2 linked regions of the Macaca mulatta genome follow. The protein of the gene in region 1 purifies or fractionates together with the protein of each later gene. This does not show direct contact. Links are inferred from orthologs where the notes say so. Each region holds a gene or a part of one and is shown in the gene's direction. Other genes may lie near its edges. The genes, in order: PSTPIP1 and WAS.

Region 1 (4,339 bases):
GAAGATCAAGGAAAGCTTGCCAGAGGGGAGGCTGGGAACAGAGCAGGTGGGAGTGGGAAAGGTGCCTCTGGGGAGAGGGAAGAGGCCTGGCCGGAGCGGAAGCCTCTGGGAGGTGATGGGAAGGACACCTAGAGAGGCAGGGCAGGGAGCCCAGCTGTGAAATTTTCTGCCAATAAGAGGGCAGGAGACTTCTGTTAACAGAGGGTCTCTACACTGCTCCAGACCTAGAAGCATCATCCCATCTGATGGATGGAGAAACTGAGCTCAGGGAGGCTGAGCCAGTGCTATCAGAGGTGGTGGTGCCATTGGGAGGGGAGGTGCAGCCTGCCTCACTCTATGGCCTACAAAGTTCAAGGGGATTTTTACACTGTTAGTTATCTTCAGCTGCAAGTAACAAAAAACCTGACTGGGGTGCCTTACAGATTAAAGGTTAGCTCAAGTCCAAGGTTTCTGGAGGTGAGGGCCTTCTGGGGGCAGTCCCATTGCTCTGCAATTCTCCCCAGAGTGTTTCCTCTTGGGTGGCTATTTCAGAGACTGGGTGTGCACCTCTCTCTAAACCCTGGGCATGCATAATGGGCACTTGGGAGCTCAGCTATTTCATCTGCAGCAACTCTCATCTACTTACCACCCCGTCAGCTGTAAGGCAGACATCAGTGAGGGTGGTGATCTGTGGACAATCCCTGACTCATCCCATTTTGCCAGCCTGCCCTGGGCTCAGGACTTCCTGCTGCATCTTCTGCTGAGGGGGCAGGGCCTGGCTCCTCAGGGCTGGGGTAGGGGTTCTAGTCCAGGGCTCTTCCTCAGGTGGTACCACACAGTGCCCCCAGCACCTGCACACCAAACTGGAAATTCCAGAAATATTCTTGACACCGTCTCCTTTCCAAAGACTGGGTGTGGCAGATGAGGAAGCTGAGGCTCAGCGAGTTGGAGAGTCTATTAAGGTCCCTCAGCCCTTGAAGGGTAGGGTCAAAATGAAAAAAAACTGGGCCTCAGGCTGGGTTTCCAAACACCCTACTCTGTACCTTGATAATACTGTTTCTCTCTCCGTCTATTCCCATTCACTGAGCCGGAAGTCTCCATCTTCAGAGGGGGGTTTTCTGCCCCAAACAGTGTCTAATCAGGAGACTTGCGGCAGTGGCGGTGGTGGGGGGTGGGGGGCAGTGCCGGGGCCTCAGGCTGTTCTCCCTCATCTTGCTGCCTGCTCACCTCACCTCTGTGTGCTCACAGCCCCCCAGAGCACAGCTGTGTCTGCCCCCAGACTGTGGGACCCTTGAGGGCAGGACCTGGTTCGGGTCCCGGAGCAGCCGGGTTTTGATGCATGACAGATGCCCTAGGCCTGGGTAAGCCCCTCAAGAATGGTTTGCTTGTGCGGGGTAGAGAGCCTGGCATCTCTGGGCCCAGCCTGGAAGGGCGCTGGGCTGGCTGGCCAGTGACACACCTGGGGTTCCTGGGCCCCTCCTGGCCACACTGTCGGTGGGCCTCAAGCTCCCTTAGCATATGACCTCTGGAATAGTGAGCCCGCGCCTCTGGAGGGGCAAGCAGAGGCAAGAGCAGGATGGCAGGTGGCAGGCGGGGCTGCACAGGGGAGCACAGCAACTCCACTTCCTGTGGGCGAGGGCCCCGCGCCCGCCCGGGGGGAGGTTGCACAAACCTTCCTGCGCAGGCCTCGGGCTGCCTGCCTGCCTGGCCTGAACTCCAGCCTGCCTCTTCCACTGGCCACTGCCTCCCACACAGGGCTGGCATCCCTGTTCCCTGCTCTGGGTCCCAGACTGTGTCCTCCATCACCGCAGGGTCGGCGAGGGGCTGGGCTGGACACCAGGGCCCGCCCTCCCATCACTGAGCTCCACTCCTTCCTCATTTTGCTGCCGATTCTAGCCCCAAACAAAACAGGTTGAGCCTTTTCCTCCCCTCGGCAGCTCCTCTCTGGCTCATGGCTGCCTTCTGAGTGCTGCAGACGGCGCCGGGCGGGAAGGGGGGCCTGGGCCAGCCCTGCCAGGACTGGGACGGTGCTGCTGGCGCCTGGCCCTCCATCAGGCCAGCCTGTGGCAGGAGAGCAAGCTTTGCCGCGGCAGACGCCTGAGGATGATGCCCCAGCTGCAGTTCAAAGATGCATTTTGGGTGAGTGAGGATGGTTGGGGGCACTGAACAAGTGGAGCGGGCAGAGCTAGGCTGAAATCTCCATGCAGGTGATGGGGTGCGGCTCTGAGAGGGGAGCTTTCTCATAAAATAGTGGTTGATTCTTGGTCTTAATAGTCATGGAGGTGACCCGGGCCCCCACCCTTCTGGATTGGAAGGCAAGTGGACTCCATGAATGAGGGTCCTCCTTTCTGCTGCCCCAGCTGTATTCTCCTCTGGGAGACCTCTCCCCACAGCAGGAGCTCCTCAGCAGAGGGTAACACATGGGTGGGGGCTTGAGGAGGATGTGTGGGGCAGCAAAGGAGGGGTCACAGATTTAGAGACCAGACAAACTTGGGTTCAGGTCTTGGCTCTGTTACTTATAGGCTGGGCAAGTCATTTCTGTCTCTGAACCTCAGTCTCTCCATCTATATAATGGGGATAAATAAAAATCAACACACCAACTAAAGCATTGGATCAGCAAGGGGATCCAGTGCACTAAAGACCCCAGCCCCTTGCCTCACTCCAAATGGTAATTCTCTTTCCCTCACCCAGCCCCTTGTCCCTTGCAGACCTTAGGGATCCTTCAAGGAGGCAGCCAGGCGGGCAATTGCTTGCTTACTTTCTTAAATTCAACACAGGCTTAAATCAAGTCATTTCCCCCATGAAATAAGGGCGCCCAGCCAGTGGTAGAGGTAAAGTGACTTGGCCCGGGCCACGTGGCCTGCAGCCCAGCTTGGACCCCCGGATCATCTCAGCATTTTTCCAGCTGTCCTTCAACTCCCCCTCTGCCCCTCAGCTCCAGCTGTGCCCAGGGCTCTGGGGAAAAGCTGAGACCTCTCTGGTTGGAGCTGGGGAATATGGCTGTCCTGGGGTGCTGCCTCCAACCCCGAAGAGGACTCTCTGGCCCTCGGCTCAGCCGGCTGAGCCCCAGCCAACTGCCCTGCCCTCCCTGGGCCCTTTCCTGGGGCTGCAGCCAGGAGGATGAGAGCCACGGAGCCAGGCCTTCCTTCCCTTCCGGCCAGCTCCACTTGGGGCCTGTGGCCAGCGTGTGAATGTTCTGCTTCCTCTGCACTGACTGCACAGTAGGCAAAGGACCCCACATGGGGAGGGCACCCTGTGCCTTTCTGGGCCTCAGTTTCCCCATCTCTACAAAGACAGGGTGGGCGCAGCCCAGAGAATCGAATGGAGGCAGAGCTGCCTCAGCCCATCCGGAGGACCAGGCACCAGGATGCTCAGGGCCCAGGCTGGCAGCTGGAGCCCTGGGTGGTGGGGGTTGTGAGTCACCACCTTGCTGCCCTGCCTTGGTGTGCAAAGTTGGGGGAAGGGGTAGGGCCTGGAAACCCAGTCCACTCTAGCCCAGGGCAGGCCAGGACCCCTTGACTATCTTATCACCGAGACCTCTGTCCAGGCCCAGAGCCTAGTGCAGAGCTGGGCAAGGAGCAGCCCCTATGGCAGGATCTGGGCACAGGTAGGGGTGGCGTATAAGGGATCAGGGTGTGGCAGCAGCAGCAGAAGCAAGCAGCCAGCGCCTGTGGAGCTTCCTGAGCGGCATCCTGCCCACACTCTGAGCTCGTCGCACCTCTGGGCTTCCTGGTCTCCAAGTGCCTGCTCTCCTCTGTGGCTGGCTTCCTGGGTCTGGGGTGGGCATATAGTTTCCCTAGGGAAGGCCAGAGCAGGAAGGGGAGAGAAGTAGCCAGTGGGAACCTTTCACACTGAGTCTGGGCCGACGCCCCGAAAGGTCACTGTACGCATCAAGGCATCACCTGCCCCAGGGCTCTGGATTCTAATACCTCTTCCTGATGCTCAGCCCATCCCAGTGCATAACAACTAACATTTGCTGAGCACAAAAGATGTGCCAGGCGCTGTTCCCAAGATGAATGCATATTCACTCATTCAATCCTTCAAACAGATGCTACTGTTCTCTCTCTTATTCAGATGAGGAAATTGAGGCACAGAGACATTAAGAGACTTGCGCAAGGTCACACTGCTGGGATTAAACCCTGGCAGGCTGGCTCCAGCACCTGTGTTGTCGCAGGATCCCTCTATCTTTCATATCACTGGATCTTTTGGCTTCGGGGTAAGAGGAAATCCTCTTATCTCCCAGAGGGGTAAGAAGATCAGACAAGGTGGCTAGAACAATATTTTGAAGCTTCATTTGTAGACAAATCTGTAAAACAGAAAAGGCACACTACTCTGACCGCAGGTGTTATGTTAGGAACAG
Region 2 (2,883 bases), on another chromosome or scaffold:
AGGCTTCCGTTTCTTGCCCCTGTGCTTTGGTTGGTTGGTAAATGGGTCAATGGGCCAACCACCCTATTTTCCCCACAGGCCCTCCAGTGGGTCCGCTCTCCCTGGGGCTGGCGACAGTGGACATCCAGAACCCTGACATCACGAGTTCACGATACCGTGGGCTCCCAGCACCTGGACCTAGCCCAGCTGATAAGAAACGCTCAGGGAAGAAGAAGATCAGCAAAGCTGATATTGGTGCACCCAGTGGATTCAAGTGAGAACCAGTCCCCAGTGGGCCCACAGATTCCTGGGGGCAGAGGGGCACATGAACAAGTGGACAGCTGAGACGATGGAAGGAAGGGCAGATGGCTGGGTGGCTGAGTGGGTAAATGAGTGGATGGATGGGTAGGTGCAGGGCTGGGTCTAGGGAGAGGTAAATAAGGCACCAAGGGTACAAAATTTAAGGAGGCACTCACTCTCAGAGGCATGCAACTGTAATTCCTGACTCTGAGAGTGAGTGACTCACTTAAATTTTGCACCCTAGGCACCTCACTTGCCTCAGCCTGGGCCCACTCTGGGTGGGCTGTTAGGGGAGCAGGTGGGTGGGCAGGTGAATGAATGGATAGATAGATGAGGCAGATGATGGATGAGGGGGGCTGGTGGGTAGGTGGGTGAGTGGATGGGTGGATGGATGGATAAATAAATGGATGAATGAATGGGTTGAAGAATGAATGGGTAAGTGGTTGGACGGACAGGTTGATGGGTGGATGGGTTGATGGGAGGTGCATGGTAGATGGATGGGTGAGTGGATGAGTGTGTGGACAGATTGATATGCAGGCTGATTGGCTCACAGACAAGGTGGATGGGGATGGTACAGGTGGACAGATATGTGGATGAATGGACAGTTCAATGGATAAGTGAACAGAAGTGTGTGGTTGCATGGGTAGAAAATTGTGTGAATGGATAGATGGAAAGGTGGGCACATGGGTAGGTGGATGGGCGGATGGACAAGTGTGTGTGAGGACAGATTGGTGGACAAATGGGTGAACAGACATACGTGGGCAGACAGTTGCAGAGACAGATGTATGGACAGATCAGTAATCCAACAGATGAATGTGAATGAATAGGTGGACAAATGCATGGGTGAATAGATGGGGAAAGAGGGATGGGTGAATGGATCAGCACCACAAACTATGAAGCCCTTCTAATTCCATAACTGCTGCCCATACTCATTCATTCATTCAGTCTCATTCATTAATTCTGGCCCCTCAGAGTCTCTCTGGGCAGGAGAGGGCAAGAGGGCTTCACTACGAAAGGAGGGAAGGAAGGGCAGTGGGGATTCACTGGAGTCTCTTCACCTCTCCCAGGCATGTCACCCATGTGGGGTGGGACCCCCAGAATGGATTTGACGTGAGTAACTTCAGAGTCTCTCGGACTCCACTAAACTTCCACCCACCCTTCCAAAGACCACTGCTGAGACCCCACGCCCAGACCGTGCCCTTCCCACACCCCTCTCAGATCCCTTGCTGGGATGAACCCAACGACAATCCGTGTCGCTGCTCTCCTCACCTTATTCCTCTACTCCCGCCCCTGGCCTTTTTCCTCCTGGGCAGGTGAACAACCTCGACCCAGATCTACGGAGTCTGTTCTCCAGGGCAGGAATCAGCGAGGCCCAGCTCACCGATGCCGAGACCTCTAAACTTATCTACGACTTCATTGAGGACCAGGGTGGGCTGGAGGCTGTGCGGCAGGAGATGAGGCGCCAGGGTGAGCCCCTGCTTCCATACGTTCCCTTCTCCAGCCCTAGCAGCTCATAGCTAAGAGATTCACTAAGTCACTCAGTCCTTATGGGAGCACCTATACTGCTTCAGTCAGGAGTTGGTCAGTGGGGGTACCCATTTTACAAATGAGCAAAACTGAGGCTCAGAAGAAATCAATGAAAGTTACAGCTATGTGTTATACTCCCTCCACAGAGCCACTTCCGCCGCCCCCACCGCCATCTCGAGGAGGGAACCAGCCCCCTCGGCCCCCTATTGTGGGGGGTAACAAGGGTCGTTCTGGTCCACTGCCCCCTGTACCTTTGGGGGTTGCCCCACCCCCACCAACGCCCCGGGGACCCCCACCCCCAGGCCGAGGGGGCCCTCTACCACCACCCCCTCCAGCTACTGGACGTTCTGGACCACCACCCCCACCACCCCCTGGAGCTGGTGGGCCACCCATGCCACCACCACCACCACCACCACCGCCACCGCCACCCAGCTCCGGGAATGGACCAGCCCCTCCCCTACTCCCTCCTGCTCTGGTGCCTGCCGGGGGCCTGGCCCCTGGTGGGGGTCGGGGAGCGCTTTTGGATCAAATCCGGCAGGGAATTCAGCTGAACAAGGTGAGGACAGGTAGGATGGAAGATTGGGGGTCTGGAACTCTGGGGTACCCATGTAAGTCAGGATACTGGAGGGCTGAGGCCAGGACGGAGGAGAGTGCCAGGCCTTGGGGATTCAGTGATAGGGTGGAAAGGTTGGTGGGAAGCCTTGAAGGGTACTGGAGTGTGTGGGAGGGAAAATATTGATGGAGGGGCGGGGAGAAATGCTCCTTTCCCAGGCCCTGAGCCCTCTGTGCTGACCCCTGCCTGCTGCAGACCCCTGGGGCCCCAGAGAGCTCAGCGCTGCAGCCCCCACCTCAGAGCTCAGAGGGACTGGTGGGGGCCCTGATGCACGTGATGCAGAAGAGGAGCAGAGCCATCCACTCCTCCGGTGAGCTGATCCTGCCAGGGCCTCAAACCTGGCTCCCAGGGCTAGCACTGGCCTCAGAACAATCCCAGCAGTCACCACCAATAGTGACATCAGCCCCATCTGTTGACAGCATTAACATGAATCTTGTGTCAGCCTCCTTTTTGACAAAGTTAAC

What was found.
Region 2: the proteins of PSTPIP1 (region 1) and WAS purify together in Homo sapiens (affinity purification with western blotting; 3 studies listed by BioGRID and IntAct, with this or other methods). This does not show direct contact. The link is inferred for Macaca mulatta from reciprocal best matches to the Homo sapiens genes PSTPIP1 and WAS.

Annotation. Positions count from the first base shown.
Region 1 is NC_133412.1:55,136,320-55,140,658, forward strand, and holds the start of PSTPIP1 (proline-serine-threonine phosphatase-interacting protein 1), read left to right. Parts: upstream 1-1,314; coding exon 1,315-1,340; intron 1,341-1,606; exon of another isoform or gene 1,607-1,916; coding exon 1,917-2,118; intron 2,119-4,339. UniProt on the Homo sapiens protein: Involved in regulation of the actin cytoskeleton. May regulate WAS actin-bundling activity. Bridges the interaction between ABL1 and PTPN18 leading to ABL1 dephosphorylation.
Region 2 is NC_133426.1:48,762,931-48,765,813, forward strand, and holds part of WAS (actin nucleation-promoting factor WAS), read left to right. Parts: intron 1-78; coding exon 79-253; intron 254-1,346; coding exon 1,347-1,389; intron 1,390-1,592; coding exon 1,593-1,746; intron 1,747-1,952; coding exon 1,953-2,362; coding exon of another isoform or gene 2,363-2,372; intron 2,373-2,614; coding exon 2,615-2,729; intron 2,730-2,883. UniProt on the Homo sapiens protein: Effector protein for Rho-type GTPases that regulates actin filament reorganization via its interaction with the Arp2/3 complex. Important for efficient actin polymerization. Possible regulator of lymphocyte and platelet function.